Oryzias latipes: one gene and its partner. The protein of the gene in region 2 interacts with the protein of the main gene of each other region in a biochemical or structural test. Links are inferred from orthologs where the notes say so. Each region holds a gene or a part of one and is shown on either strand. Other genes may lie near its edges.

What was found.
Region 1: of the proteins of mettl22 (region 2) and kin, one has a biochemical effect on the other in vitro, tested with the Homo sapiens proteins (2 studies listed by BioGRID). The link is inferred for Oryzias latipes from reciprocal best matches to the Homo sapiens genes METTL22 and KIN.

What each region holds. Positions count from the first base shown.
Region 1 is NC_019881.2:22,191,106-22,199,072, forward strand, and holds kin (DNA/RNA-binding protein KIN17), read left to right. Parts: upstream 1-2,778; 5' UTR 2,779-2,837; intron 2,838-2,928; 5' UTR 2,929-2,934; coding exon 2,935-3,048; intron 3,049-3,136; coding exon 3,137-3,231; intron 3,232-3,314; coding exon 3,315-3,358; intron 3,359-3,906; coding exon 3,907-4,029; intron 4,030-4,305; coding exon 4,306-4,490; intron 4,491-4,578; coding exon 4,579-4,627; intron 4,628-4,706; coding exon 4,707-4,758; intron 4,759-4,835; coding exon 4,836-4,965; intron 4,966-5,038; coding exon 5,039-5,161; intron 5,162-5,241; coding exon 5,242-5,341; intron 5,342-5,413; coding exon 5,414-5,514; intron 5,515-5,758; coding exon 5,759-5,818; 3' UTR 5,819-6,037; downstream 6,038-7,967. Other genes in the region: atp5f1c (ATP synthase subunit gamma, mitochondrial), read right to left, coding at 1-81, 156-220, 319-462, 534-741, 817-948, 1,598-1,632, 2,154-2,194; itih2 (inter-alpha-trypsin inhibitor heavy chain H2), read right to left, coding at 6,137-6,305, 6,378-6,489, 6,968-7,140, 7,229-7,427, 7,714-7,827, 7,900-7,967. UniProt on the Homo sapiens protein: Involved in DNA replication and the cellular response to DNA damage. May participate in DNA replication factories and create a bridge between DNA replication and repair mediated by high molecular weight complexes.
Region 2 is NC_019866.2:25,830,640-25,838,625, reverse strand, and holds the start of mettl22 (methyltransferase-like protein 22), read right to left. Parts: upstream 4,538-7,986; 5' UTR 4,478-4,537; exon of another isoform or gene 4,148-4,477; intron 4,067-4,147; 5' UTR 4,050-4,066; coding exon 3,953-4,049; intron 641-3,952; coding exon 487-640; intron 274-486; coding exon 131-273; intron 1-130. UniProt on the Homo sapiens protein: Protein N-lysine methyltransferase. Trimethylates KIN at Lys-135 (in vitro).

The sequences.
Region 1 (7,967 bases), on a different chromosome or scaffold from region 2:
GGTAGATGACGTTGACCAGAGCGAACTCCTGGTAGTTCCTCAGCACGTCAGCGTCGATGTCATCATAGATCCCCATGCTCTCTGTGGAAGAGGGGGGGGGCACGTTCGGGATCTGCGGCTCCGACTGAGAAAGGTCAAAGTTGAGTTTCTTCTACCTGAGTTGGCCACGATGTCCGTGGAAAACAGCGGCTTCTGGTCCGTCCTGTAGGAGATGACGGACCTGCGGGGGGGGGGGGGGGGGGGGGGGGGGGGTTAGTTAGTCCGGGATTCAAAGCAATACTTGTGGCATGCGCCAGATAAAAGGGGCGGGGTCCACACCTGAATCTGTTGAAGATGACCGAGCCCTGGTCGAACTCGTATCCGGAGTTGAGCAGCTCGGTGGCGACGATGGAGGCGTCGTTGAAGCTGGGGGGTATGCGGCCGACCTCCTTACAGTTCAGGATGATGTGCTTCCCGTGGGTTCTGCTCGGATCAACGGATCATGAAGCCAAGGCGAGTCTGAATCCTGAGAGAACCGTCAGAACCTCTCAAACCTGTGCAGGAGGCCTCTCAGCTTGTCTCCCACGTTGACCACCATCACCTCCTTGCCGGCGCTGGTCAGGTTGGCGATCTCGCTCTTTATGACCTTGGCCACACCGGAGTGGATGGCGCCGCAGAGCCCACGGTCAGAAGTCACGCCGACCAGCAGGTGCTTGGAGGTCTTCTCCTCGGGCGCCTTGATGTCAGCCTTCTCGTACAGCGCTGTCGTGCAGAAGAAGAGACGTTTTTCAGCACGGCGCCCGCCACAGCAACCGCGGCGTCACCGCCAACACACACCTAGAGCTCCGGTGCCGTAGACGCGGGCCGGCTTCAGCTGCCTCTCAGCGCGGGCGTATTTGGCAGCGGCCACCATCTTCATGGACTTTGTGATCTTCTGGATGTTCTTGATGGACTTCAGCCGAAGGGTGACTAAAGGAGAAGAGCGGTCACATGATCAAACACGAAACACAATTAAGCCTTTGTAAAAACTTTATTCGTCAAGTTAAGTTTTTCTTCTCAAGTTCTTTCAGATGCAAAACATGACAAGTTAGTTAACGAGCAGATATGGGTTTGCAAAATACAAATAACATTAAATCCATATTTATTTTTTACAAATTCAGGAAATGAATTCACTTTACTTTAATAATTGGTTAAGTGAAATCATCTGTCACATCGTTTAATTTAGTTCATTTGTTTTATTTATTTTTTTCTCTAAAAAAAAGAAACAATAACAATTTTCACTACGCAGTTTGTTTGTTTTTACTTTCTAAAGCTCAGTTATAACTAAATTAAATCTTCAGGGGTAACCTGGAAATTACAGGCTTTTATTTTTATATCAAACCATCCTGGAGATGCTCAGTTATACCTAAATAAGTCTCAGAAAGAGTTCATCTTAACAATCCAGGCTTTTATTTTGTTAGGAAATCATCACGAATGAATGACAGTCTTCAGAGATGCTCCGTTATGTTGACATATGTAATTTTTCACAATAAAAGTAAAGACATAAAGTTGTTTAACAATGAAACCGTGCAGACAGACAACCAAATGGAGCATTTTAGCTTTGGGGATAAACACTTACTGTCCTTCAAGGTGGCCATGTTCCTGACCTGCCCACTGCGAACACAATCAGTTCACGTTAGCGTTTCATTCACTTCCATTCATGTACAGATTTCAGTGCAGAGCTGGACTTTCTGTCCTCTCGCAGACACCATGTAGCATTTTATGATATAAGAACTGTGGCGTCCTAAAGATATTTGCTAGGTAGTATCCTTATTAGCTTAGCAGCTAACGCTAATGCAACGCAAAAAGGCTAAAACAAACAGAAAAAAACTACTGTAAAAGCATCTGCTGTTGGAATACACATGTACAGAGATACAGCATCTATTTATAGACTTTGTGTTACATTTCAAAAGTTACAGCAAATTAAGTTAGCGCTGTCATTAGCATAGCCGGTTGAGTTAGCTTCATTCATTAGCTGCGGCCTGCCTCTCTTAGCACGTCCTTGTACAACTGATGTGCAAATCCTGAATTCAATAAGCCACATTTTCGTTTCTACAACACTTTAGAATTTAGGTTTGATTTAAAAAGACAATAAAAATAAAATAAATGTGATGTTTGATGGTATTTGGGTTTACCATTGTGGGAGGAAAACCAAAGCGCTGCTCCGGGCGAACATGGCTGCAGCGATGAAGGTCAGACACCCAGAACTGCGCACGCGCAAGCCTACGCTTGTCGGATGATAACTTCAAGGACCACTGGGAACTTTTTCCTGCATTGGTTTTCAAAATCAAAAGCTCTTTGTATATGTCCACATGTGAATTTTTTTATTGACATTAAAATAAAAATGATTGGAAAAAATGAGCCCGCGTTTCTTAATATAAAACCATTAAATTTGATGTATTTTTATATATTTTATTTTTTTACAGAAATACTCTTAAGCAGAGTCTTTACCTATTTATCATTTTAACAGGTAGAGCAAATCAAAACGCATGTTTAAATCGCGCATTTAAGGTTTAGCACAGAAAGGAAAATATTAACACAAATAACTGAACTACAAGCAAATCAAAACCTTAAAGAATTTTATGTAAACAAAAACTTTTTTGTAATATTGCTAAATAAACACAGGCTTTAAATAATCCATATCATTCATAAGATCACTGAGAAAAGCACAATGATTTTCTTCTTGTTTAAACTCATCACACTGCTTCTGGCGTATGAAGTTTTTAAAATCCGGAGCTCGTGAGAAGTCCATGAAGGTATCAATTGTTATCGCGGGATTTTGTACTTTTGCGACAGTGTGACGTCTGTCGGCGGAAACGGTTAGCTTGCTTCCTCGGTTTATCTCAAAATATTCGGGAAAATATACCCAGATTTGATATTTTTTACAGGTTTAATTGTGTTTTTTAACAGATCAAAATGGGGAAAGCGGAGTTTTTGACCCCGAAATCGATCAGCAACCGAATAAAAGCCAAAGGTCTACAGAAGCTGCGATGGTATTGTCAGATGTGTCAGAAACAATGTCGAGACGAGGTGAGATTTTTATATTATGATCTTATTTTACACCTTTGGTTGTTGTTGGAGAGTTTAAACGGTGATTTTGTTCTGTTTTGGGGTCTAGAATGGCTTCAAGTGTCACTGCATGTCCGAGTCCCACCAGAGGCAGCTGCTGCTCGCCTCAGAAAACCCCACAAAGTTCATGGACTATTTCTCAGAGTGAGTCCTCTACTAACCATCCCAACTGGAGCTTTAACACTCACCTTAAAGATGTTTACCATGTCTGTTGCTGTCTGTTTCAGTGAGTTCAAACGCGACTTTCTGGAGCTGCTCAGGAGGCGATTTGGTGAGAAAAATACCCTTCAGAGAAGCACTTAAACTAAGTCCTAAGAACACAGTTTCCCTTTATGACGATGACTTTATTTACGTCTTTATGCCTTTGAACAATATATTAAACACCCAGCGCCCCTAATCTAAGTAGTTCTTTACACATTTCTTAAAGAAATGTGGCTATTCTGAAAACTATTAAACAGTATTTCAATGGTTTTTGATGGATTGGGAAATTTTAAGAAATTCTCAGCACTAAAAACAAAGTAATAGGAATTAAAAATACACAGATATATCAAATCTATTTAAGAACTAACTAAGTCTTGACATTATTGCTCTTACTCATCATTTTATTGATTTAAAGATCAAATTTACAAGATTTTTCTCGTTTTTAAAGACAAAAACTTCTCAAAAGGGGATTGAGTTAAATATTTTCTTATGTTTCTTCACGTCTTTCTAAAAGGCTAAACAATAAGCAACAACTGTAAAAATCAACCAAAAAGTGAACATCCACTTAAAAGATTTTTAATTATGTGTTTCTAATCTTTTTTTTTTTTTTCATTTTAGGGACCAAACGAGTGCACAACAACATCGTCTATAACGAGTACATCAGCTACCGGGAGCACGTCCACATGAACTCCACGCAGTGGGAGACGCTCACGGACTTCACCAAGTGGCTCGGCAGAGAAGGTGAGTCCAAAAACTGCCTTTAGATCACAGCTTTGCGCCTCTTTTCTCCAGATTTATACCACGTATATTTATAAAAGTTGGAAATGTCTTTGAAAAATGTGGATATATTCTCAGCAAATCTGAAAGAAGGTTAAATTCAAAAGCGACTGAAGTGACCTCAGATGCAGAAAACGCATCTGGACCGGACCTTCTGCTCTAAATCTGCCATTAAAGCCTTGAGGCCATCTTCCTGCAGACTGCATCTTCGTACTCAGATTTCCATAAAATGTTTATCAGGTTTGTGCAAAGTTGACGAGACGCCTAAAGGCTGGTACATCCAGTACATCGACCGTGACCCAGAGACCATCCGGCGGCAGGAGGAGCTGGCGAGGAAGAAGAAACAAGAGATGGACGATGTGGAGAGGAGCGCCAAGTTCATCGAGGAGCAGGTCCGAAGAGGCCGCGACGGCAAGGAGACGGAGGTGAGTTCCAGCCGGACGCAAATTCTGATTCTGTGCGTCTTAATGTACAGACGGTGGGGGTGAACGCCGTGTCCCTCTTCTTCTTTAGGAAACTCCTGTTTTCACAGAGCTCAAGCGTGAAAGCGAGGAAGAAAAAGGTGGGAGTGGTTTGGCTTTTTTTTTTTTTTTCCCCGGTCTCTTAACTTTGTTCTCATCCGGCGTTCTCCGCTCCTGCAGTGGTCTTTAACCTGGGAGCGTCCGCTTGTGTGGCCGGCCCCTCCAAACCGAGGTACGGCCGTCTCCGTTACCCTTTCGCGGTCGCGTCTCCTTCGGCCTTCGGCTCTAACGGGCTCTTTTGCGCCTCAGCTCCGTCCTGGGTCCCAGCGCTCTGAAAGCAGCCGCGGCGCCACCATCTGTGAAAAGGAAAGACCCGCCGTCCAGCTCAGACTCCAAAAGCGAGAAGAAAAAGAAGTCCGCCTTGGAGGAGATCATCGAGGTTCGGACCCTTTGTGTTTGTGTTTGTCCTGCCAATGTCAGAGCGGACCGTCCTGAACCGTGTTTCTGTTCAGATGGAGGAGAGGAAGAAGAAGCAGCCGTCCAGAACCGACTACTGGCTGCAGCCCGACATTGTCGTGAAAGTGATCACCAAAAAACTGGGAGAGAAATACCACAAGAAGAAGGCCGTTGTCACGGTAACGGTGCTGTGATGACGAGAAACGACGGCGGGCACGGAGGCCTCTCGTTGCTGACGGCTGTACGCCTTTGTGAACAGGAGGTGCGAGATCGATACGGAGCTGTGGTGAAGCTGATCGACTCCGGGGACAAACTGAAACTGGACCAGAACCACCTGGAAACGGTCATCCCTGCACCGGGTGAGCCCCCTTTCCGCCGTTCCATCCAGGTTCTGCAGGTCAGGGATGCTAAAGGTGTCAAACGGTCCGCAGGTAAACGGGTTTTGATCCTGAACGGCCCGTACAGAGACACGGAGGCCCTGCTGGAGGGCATCGACGAGAAAAACTTCAGCGCCACGCTCACACTCGACGCCGTGAGTGTTTCGACCCGGGTGTCATTCACATCAGAACCCCAGTTTATACCCCTCATTCCAAAGTTTGAGGACTTTTACTGTGACATGTTGCTGGTTTGATAAAAAATAAAAACCGACAGTTGAACTCGTGTCTGTCGTCTGGCACGTTGGTGGTGGGTTAATGATGTGGGCTTGTTCTGTGTTAGATACAGAAGAGTCGTCGGATCGTTTTGAAAATGATTTCCTGTTTTCTTTTCACGTCCAGGGTCATCTGAAAGGGAAGAGGGTGACCGTCGCCTACGAGGATTTCTCCAAGCTGGCCTGAACATTCGTGAACGTCGTTCGATGTTTAGACTGAGGGACTCTACTGTGTCAGAGTTAACCCCCCCCCACACACACACACACCTGTACATACAGCCATCCCTCAATCCACATGCTGGACAAGTCAGGGATATTCACAGCAGCAGTTCCATGTTTTTTTTATTTTGTCGATCCTGACGTCTGCAGGTTTGAATTTGGTCTAAATAAAGTTTGCAAAAATAGATTTTTTGGTGGAACTTTTCTTTGGAAAAAAGTCACATCTGCTTGTCCCCCCCCCCCCCCCCCCCCCACCTCTTTCACAACATTCTTCTTATTTGAAGGTTCAGAACTGCGTGGTATTGTCTGGGTTCATGTGGAGGAAGCTGTTCAGACCGGGTACGATGTAGTCTGTGTAGTGGCCGTCGATGAAGCCCTTCCCGCTGTTGTGGACAAACCAGCAGTAGACGTTGGCGCCCTTCTTCGTGTCGCGCCTGTAGTCCTTCTGCCAGCCCCTGAGGAGAGCAAAGCGTACCGAGTTCACAACCCATTCGTGTTTTCGGTCGGACTTGTGGGCGGGACAGTACCTGGTAACGAGCAGCCTGCTGCCCTTCACCTCCATGGTAGCTTCCTTCTTCAGAGGGTCGAGTCCCTCGTGGACGTTGTACACGTGAACCTCAGGCTCTCTGGAAAACTGCCCTGTGAGGTCACATCAGACAAACCTTTATCTGCACGGTTTCTTCATTCTTTTCATTTTATGCGAGCAGGACATGATCAAAAAGTAATACTTCAGATTTCTACTACTTTAGTCAGAATCTCTGAATGAAGGAAGACTTTTTTAATGCTAAAACCTGTTAGCGGCAACCATGCTAGCCCCTAAATTTCACTTCTGAAATTTAAGCTAACCTGACAGAGCCCTGCAGTTCCTCAAATGACCACTAGAGGCTGGTTTCAAATACATTTTCAATTCAAATGAATGTTCAAAAAGTCCAACTGTCTGGTTTTAAAAGCTTTAGACTTTAAATGCTTCGCTTTGGAATAACGACCACTAGGGCGATGTTGGTGCTGTCGCCACAAGCGTCTCTTGCTAACATTTTTCCACATGCTTTCTTTACAGTCGATTAATCACAGCTAACCTTGTATAGTGTCAGTGCTGTCGGTTTGATTCCCTGCTTACCTATGAGTCCATGAACCAGAGGGGAATACTGGTTATTGTTGGGAATGTAAATTCCCAGGAAGTCGACGTTGACGGGATGTTTCTTCCACACGCGGTGAAGCAGCACCATCACCTGGATATTATTGTTGATGGTGATGTTCACATGAGCGTCCTTCACAATGGAAACTCTCACCCTGAAACAAAGAGAAAAACCCATTCAACACAAGGTTTGCTGTAACAAAGAAAGTGGTTTCCGTTTTGTTTCTAAGCAGCTTTAGCTACCCGTCCTGTGTGATCTCAGCCGTGGACCCCCAGGTGAAGGAGTTTTCCTTCCTGTTGTCGGTCAGGGTGATGAGGTCCGTGCTGACCGTCACGCCGACTCCTCGCGGCTGGTAGTAGACCGAGATGACGCCGAAGTAGGTCCTGAGTTTGTTTTTGAGGACCTTCTTTGAGCCAATTAACTGACCGTTCACAGAAACCCCTTCAGGACGTGAGGAAGGGCAAATAGGACTCATATGAAAACGTTTCAAGAGTTTAGCACACAAAAAAAACATGTTTATTTTAGCACGGAGGATTTGAGTCTGAGGTCAAATTGAAAGATTCTGAAGAAATCTCTGTATGTCAGGATTAAAACTATTGCTAAACGCACAATTATGGAACAATATTCATGTCATATTGCCTATAAATGTTTCTTTTATTCCAAGTTTCTTGACTTGTGTAGTGTATATATTTTTAAATTTAAAAGATGGAAACGTCTTTTTTTTCACCTGTTCCATCATCCGACACCAGGCTGAGGATGTCACCGGGCTTGGAGTCGATGTTGAAGCACACGTTTGTGGCCCTCCCAGGCAGGTGAATGATGAAGTGGGGGTCATTATCAACTGCGTGTGAAACTCACAGTGTGACCACGCAGCCACTAAAGATCCATCCATGAAATCTGAGATATGTGTTACCTAAGTTAACCGTCTCCGGCAGCGTGATCTGTTCCACTTTTGGCTCCTTCATCTCACGCAGGGGGGGC
Region 2 (7,986 bases):
GGGACTGTTGTCATCCCTTCCTGTCCTCATCTGACCCTGACTGGACCACGTTGGACACTCGGATGAAAACATATTTCTGGGCTTTAAAATGAAGACTGGCATGAAAACATCCAAGAATTTAGTCTCTTACCGATCTTTAGGACATTTTCAAAAACACAACCGTCTTCTGCCTCCGTGTTCTGCTGCTCCTGCTCCAGCTTTGGGTCGGACTGTTTGAGAATGACCGGACAAACCGGGTCCCGCCCACTGTCCCCTTTAGGGTCTCTACGGGGTCTGAGGAGGTCAAAGGACAGGGTGAGTGGAGTGCGACCTACTGACTGACCGAACATCAGCTGTTGTCTTCTGCTGCAAACAGGAAGTGTTGCTCAGACTGACAGTCAGCTTTATGATTGATGGTTTCAAAGGTTCTTCTGGGTTCCTGAAGAACCTGGTGATTAACTCGGTGACACGGCTCCATGACTAACCAGGACAGGTCTGTTTTCTTACCGGTCTGTCAGGTCCAGGTCTCCGTCTTCATCCAACTTTGGCTCCTCCTCCACCCGTCTGTCTTCCTGCGGACGCTCTTCCTCTTCTTCCACGGTTTTCCTGAGATCACCGCTGTCGTGGTTTTCTAGCAGGATCCTGAATCTGGACATGAAGACTGACAGACCAGCAGAAATTCAGCTGAAATATGATGAGGACATGAAACGGTCCGAGAAGAGACGTCAGCTGACTGAGCAGGGCGTAAACACTGAGTCTCTGTTTGGGTTAGGACTGCCTCATCATCAGATCTGAGATGTCTGCCTGTCGGCTGAGCTGCTTTCATTTGATTTCATGTGGAGATGAAAAAGCTGTTTTGCTGTTTTTTAACATGATGGACGACATTTTAACAAGAATTTATTCAAATTGTGAATCAGGAGTCGTTAAAAGCCGCGTTCGAAAAAGCTCTCAGTTGTGATGCGGCGACTGAACTGGGCGGGACGAAAGTCTCAAAGCTCCGCCCCTTTCTGATCATCCACCTGCTGACCAACAGATCCATGAACGTCTGTGTTTTCCTGGTCTGAGCTGGAATCTGGATCAGAACCGGACGGATGGATGGATCTGATGCTGCTGCTGTTTCTGTTGCTACGCTAATGTTAGGATGGGGGGGTGTGAGGGGCTGTAAGCTAGCTGGAGAGAGGGGGAACAAAGACATAAGTGACAGGAAGGGGGATGGGTTTGCTCTGTGCCACAAGTCCCGCCCACAACTTAGAGGTGAATTTCTTTTTTTTTTTTTTTTTTTTTAACTTGTCCTGTCCAACAGCTAGGCAAACAGATGAGAGCTGAGGGCCTCTTGTGTTGGACATATTTTATCTTAACAAGAGGGGTTATTCATCTTCAGACAAACCAAAGGTATGTCTGAATAAACCCCTTTTGTAATTGAGGCCAAAATTTATTAATTTCAATCATGTTTGAAAATCTTTGGTGTTGGACCGGACGGAAAAGGAAAGAGGGGAAGAAGAGAGAGGGACGTTAGAGAGAGGGGGGGGTAGGAGGGTGATAATAGGAGGGGAAGGGGGGTAAGACCATGAAGCAGCATAGAGCAGACAGGTTTACTGGTTGTTTATCGTTACGGTAAGGTTCAAATGTAGTACAAAAAGGGCGGGGCCTGTTCGCACACACTCAAATATTATCAACACACCTGCTAGCCGCAAAAATGTCCACATGTCAACATGCACACAAAACAGATAGTGTTCACGAACGCATACCTATGCCTTTAAACCAACTAGTGTGAAATCTTTCATTCATTCAATCATGCAAACTATTAGTGCAAAGGTGAGCCAACACCTGTGCTCAGGTGAGTGTTTATGTTCTTCTAAAATGGATGGTGGAATGTGAAAAGAAGGAGGAGGAGCGCCCAGCCACCCCCACACCCATACCCCCGCCGCAGCAGCAGCGGCAGCCGGAATTCCCCCAACGCCACACGGGAACAGGCAGGGAACAACCGCCCCCCGGGCGACCAAGACCGCCACCCAGGCCAGGGCCAGCAGGACCGCCGCGAGGCCCCCAGAGCCAGAGAGCAGGGAGGCGCAGAGGGAAAGAGAGCGCCGCCCCAGCCCAGCCAGGAAAGCAGCCCCCCGCCGCGCCGGAAGAGCCCAACGCAGGGCCCCACCGGAGAGGGACGCCCACAGCCCCAGACGAGCACCCCACCACCACCCAGGAGTTCCGGGCATCCCCCCGCCCCGACCCCAGGTACGAGCCAGGACCCCCCAAGGGAGACCCGCTCCGCACTCCAGGCAGCCACCCACCCGGCCCACGGTTGGTCCAGGCAGGAGCAAGGCAGGGGCCCGCCGCCCCCGCCCAGGAGGGGGGAACCCCGGGAAAAAAGGGCGGCCCACAAGGGATGTTATAAATATGGCCCGACCAGGCTCGGCCATGTTGGAAGTTTGGCGGGGCCCAGCGCCCAGGGGCAAGGACCAGGACCCACCCCCCAGGGACACGAACACCCCCGGCTCAGGTGTAATATGAACCCCCCCACCGTGCGGAGAGAGCACCGCCGGGCCCAGGGAGCCGGCACCCAAGGGACACGGCCGCCATCGCCAAGGGGCCCGCACCCCCCACCAGGGAAGGGGTAGGGGACAGATGGACCCAGGTCCCACCTTCCTTGTAAAATGTGTGTGCGTGTATGGGTGTTTGAGAGGGTGTTTGTGTGCATGTGTGTGTGTTTATGTTTGAATGTATATATTGAAGGGGGAGGGGTGTGTGTACTAAGGGGGGTGCAGTTAAAATTGGCGAGTAGGGCACTAAGGGGACGTCTCCTGATTACTCACAGTGATGTCCCCTCACCCTCCCCACCTAGGGACCCTAAATGTCTAAGGTGCGGTTAAAATTGGCGGGTAGGGTGCCAGGAGGACATCTGCTGCTTGCTTGCAGTGATGTCCAAGCACCCCCCCTACCAAGGACCCTACATGTCTAAGGTGCAAATAAAACCGAAAGAGGGGGGGCCCACTCCATACGGCAACCATAGGAGGGGGGCCACTCCCAAGTAGCCCCCCCCCAAGGCGCATCGCAGGCTAGACCCCCCACCCCCTCACCCTAATATGAGGTTATATAAGGAAGGGGGTAAGTTGGGGACAGCTGGTAGACTGTCCCCCGGTGGTCAAACAGCCGTCCCCCAGCCCACCCCCAGCAAAGGGGCCAGGGCCACCCAGCCCAGGGGCCCACCACCGGAGGCGCCGACACCCCAGGCCCGGCACCACCCACCCCACACAGAGAGAGAGGAGCCAGAAGGCGTCGCCCCCCCCCCGGAGCAAGCCCAGGCCCCCACCCCCAGACGCCGGCCCTAGAAGAGCTCTGGTCAGGCCTCGACGGGACCGAGGAGGCCAACCGGCCGAGGCAACCACTGATTGCCTCAGCGGAGACCCCGACCCGCTAGCCCCCCCGACCCGTACTAATAATGGGCCCCCCCTCCCCCCCAGAACGCCCCCCCACAGGACAGGGCCGACAAGCCCCCCACCCCACCCCAGACCCCGCAGCCGAAGCGGGTGACACCCAGAGCGACCGGGGGCCCCGAGAGGGTTGTCCCGTCCCGTCCCAGAGCCAGGGAAGGGCCGATCCCAGCCCCAGGTGCAGATGGGCAGCCCATCCGGCGCCGCTGGGCCCCCCCACCCGAGCAGGGCCCCCCGCCAACCCCCCCCAGCACAGGCAAAGGGACCACCCCCCCAAGCCAAGCCAGACCACCACCCCACCCCCCCCACCACGCACCCCCACAATTAGAGGTGAATTTCTAATGAACTCCTGCTGCTCTGCAGAAACTATGTCCCAGAAAACGACATCATCATCATCATCATCATCATCATCAGAATGAACAGACCCCCGGGAAAGCTGTGAATACAGATCAGAAGACGAGCAAACTGAGGAGAACAGGTGTGCGGTTTGAATCCAGACAGGCAGCTTTAACACAGCAGGAAGGAAGCAGGACCATGAAACTCACCTGCAGAGTCCAGACCCGGCATGAGGCTCCCGGCGCTGGGCAGGTGCATGTGCACGTCTGACAGGACCATGTCGGACTCAAAGGTCACGTGATCCATGGAGAGCGGCTACGACCCTGAGGGCAACAACCACAACCATCAGTCCCGGTCCTGGAGCTGCCTCCAGGTCCTTAGCAGACCGGCCGCTCTACACATACGTCCAAGAACCGAAGGTCCGAATCCTGCAGAACCAGTCAGGACCCAGACGCAGCAGAGACGCTGGTCTCCGGTGACGTGGGTCCGTCTGCGCGCCGATCACAGACAGATGACGTAAGCAACACAGCGTGGGGGGGTCACACGCAGGCTGGTGCTAAAGAAGAACTTGCTTCCCAAGGCTTGAATTCAGAACTCTGGGAGGTTTAACTGGTCAAATCCGGATGGCAATACGTTTGATATTTGAAGTATGATGTGTTTTCTGAGGAAGAGGAGCGCAGACGCGGTGCTGACGAGCGCTGAGGAAACAGAGATCATCTAAGGACTGAACTCACCGTGGAAGTGGGGGGCGGCCATGACAGCTGTGCTGTGTGTTATGTTGTGACAGACAGCAGTAATAACCACCGCCACCAATAGATGGTGCTGTCGGCCTGTATATGCCACGAGGAGTTCCAGAGTAAAGTACATGTGAATGTGAGATCATTGTCATGAGGGCGCCATCGACCTCACCAAGATGGCGTCGCGTCAAGCAATGCAGTAATGTGAGCAGAGTTTAAGAACAGACACGTGCACATTACTGGGAGGATTCATGTTGGAAGACAAAAATAGAGGCTCCAAATGAAGTGGAAGACTTTCACACCAAACAAAGTCTTTATTGTAGCATCCAGACACTGAAACCGTCCACAGAACAGTCTTTAGACCCGCTGACACTTCTAAAAGAAGAGTTCTGTTGAAAAGTTCAACAACCCACAAACACACTGCACTGTTTCACTGACACGAATGACTGGAACAGAAGGAGAGTCATGGAGTCATGAGGAGTCAGATTTTCCTCTAGCAAATCAAACTCTTGTTCGTCTGTTCTTCTTCATCTTCAGATATCAACATGTTCACTCAGAGATGGTTCTCTGCAGCAACTGTTTCCATTGGCATCAATAATTGACCAAAGCTTCAGCTGCTAAAGCTTCAGGCGTTGATCTCTTCAGAGGCTTTGCTGCACGAGGAAGATGGCCGAGCAGAACGTCATCTGACTTAAGGACAATAAACAAACACACTGTTTCAGGGGAGGGGTCTCTGGATGTCTCAGCCTGTTCTACGGGAGAACGAAGAATACCACTGTCCTGGTGACCCTGCTGCAATCCGATTGGCTTAGAGGCATTGACCATGCAAGTGAAGTTCTAGTTCAGTTCTGGTTTAAGTTCCAGGTTAGTCCTTTTTGAGTCGTGGTTAAACTGGGGTTCTAGTTCTGGTTAGAGTTAGACTTGGTTTGGTTCCACTTTAGTATTGAGAAAATCTGATCCGGTTTTAGCTTCTGTACATCCGTTTCTATTCAATTTCTAGTGCAGCTTTTGTTTCATTTTTGAAGATTTTGTTTATTTCTTTTTAAGTTCAAATTACATTCAGTCAATTATAGATAAATTCTGGCTAATTTAAAGTTGGGTTTTAGGAAGGTTCCAGTTTAGTTTAACTCAGTTGTGATCAAGTTCTGGTTTAGAGTTTGAAGACAAATGTTGATTTTTTGTTGTTGTGAATATTGTTCCAGAAAGTTCTATCAGCTGATGGTCTGACTCTAGTCAGGGTTGGAGTTGAATTCTGGTTCATTTCTTGTTCCACAGAAAGACTTTCATTGTTTAAAACATTTTCATGGAATTAAATCCCATCTGGGGAATGTTGGCCTCCCCCTCCGGCCTTTTTTATCTTCCTCTCTGGGGGGCTTAGTGCTGGGTGTAAGGCTGGGCTGGGGGCGTTCTTCACAGGTAGCATGGGGGTGGGTGTGCCATGTGTCGTCCTTATACGTGCAGTAGCAAACAGTGTATTCATTGATGTCCACAGGCCCCCCCGCTGGGATCACCCTGCTCCCAGCAAAGCAGTTTGGACCTGGAAGGACAGAAGACAGTTCAGACCCATTGTTTATGCATTCACAGGAAAACCGCTGCCCTCTAGTGTCTGCCTGAGGAAATGTATTAAGTCCTGAGGGAAAATGGAAATTGGTTCATTTGGCAGCCAGGTACCAATGGTTGGTACCACCACGACTCTTGGTAAGACTCCAACTCAGATTTAACCCGGACCTTTAACAAATGTTGGAGACCTCTGGAGGCAGATAATAGAGGAGAGCAATTTCCTATAGACTCCACTGACACAAAGATCGACAAACACAAAATATAAACATTTGAAATTATTCTTTTAATGTAAAGCCGCTGCTCCTTCACATCCAGGGGAACCAGTTGAAATGACTCTGGCATCTGGTCTGGATGCCCTCTGGATGCCTCCCTGCAGAGGTGTTCCAGCATGTCCCACTGGGCGGGGACCCCAGGCAAGACCCAGGACACCTTGGAGAGACTACATCTCTCCAAGGTGTCCTGAGAACTCCTCTGGGTCCCCTAGAGGGACTGGAGGAAGTGGCCAGGCCGAGAGAAGTCTGGGCATCTTTACTTAGACTGCTGCCCCCACGACCAAGTCCTGGATGAGCGAAAGATGGATGGCTGGATGAAAGGATGAATGAATGAAACTGACAAGTTGAGCAAAAGAAGACCACTTCATGACAGAACAGATGCACATGAGTCTCAAGGAATGAAGTACTTTTTCCTTGATTATTTTTCTTAAAAAGTCAGACAAATACTACAGGCGTCAGGATCCAAATGCAGCAGGATTATTAGCTCAGCTAAAAGTCTACGAAACTGAATCAGGGTCAGGAGCCAGAAAATCTGGCTCAATGCAGTATGCTGCAGTTCCCGTTGGTGACCAGAAGGGGGAGACAGAGTTCTGACTTCTGACAAAGCCCCCCTCCTGTAAGCAGGCTCCGGAAGCGAGGGGCCCTCTGAGGTGGGGGCGCTGGTCTGTCACTGATCGGGGAGGGGGTCAAGGATGTCGTCTTGTGCAACCAGGAGCATTCCTCTGGGCCATACCCCTCCCAATCCACCAGATATTGAGGCCAACCCCCCAGACCATAGTGCCGGTCTATGAGTCTTTCTGCCGTTTCCAGTGCTGTGGGTAGCTATGATCAGCCGGCAAGATTTAGAGAAACCATCAATAACAGAGAGGATGGTGGTGTTACCCCTCGACCGGGGTAGATCCATGATAAAATCCACCAGGATGTGTGACCAGGGCCGTGGTGGTATGGGCAGCGGATGCTGGAGGTCGGCCGGACGCTGTCGAAGCGACTTAGCCATTTGGCAGGATGCACATTGGGTCATGTACTGGGCAACCCAAACTGCAGCGTGGGCCCCCAGAAAGAGTTTGAGGCTGGTGCTTGTGTGCTGGCCGTACCTGGGTGTCTGGTTGCAGCCAAGTCGTGCACATAGTGGAGGACCCATTGCTGATGGGATGGGGGAGCAAACACCCTATCGGCCGGACGGGACGGCTGTGGAGCGTCAGCTGCATTGTGTTCTGTCAACTATGTCGTGATGTCCCACTGAGCAGGAGCTGGGATCAGTGATGAGGGCAGGACGGGTTTTGGTGCGACTTATCCTTCAGCCGAGGTGTTGCATAAACGTGACAGAGCATCCCTCTTTCCGTTCTTGGACCCAGGGCGATATGTGATCTGAAAGTGAAAGCCTGAGAAATACAGACAGCAACGTGCCGGCCGTGGTTCAGCCGCTTGGTGGACTTCATGTACTCCAGGTTCTTGTGGTTGCTGAGAACCAGGAAAGGTTGAGCCGACCCTTCTAGCCAACGCTTCCATTAGGAGAATGCCTCCTTTATGGCCAGCAGTTCCTGGTCGCCCACGTCATAGTTTCGTTCCACAGTCTTAAGTGTCTTGGAAAAGTAAGCCCACTGGGACCTCTTGGCTGGCTCACCATGACGATGTGAAAGCACGGCTCTGAGCCCTGCGCTAGAAGCGTCCACC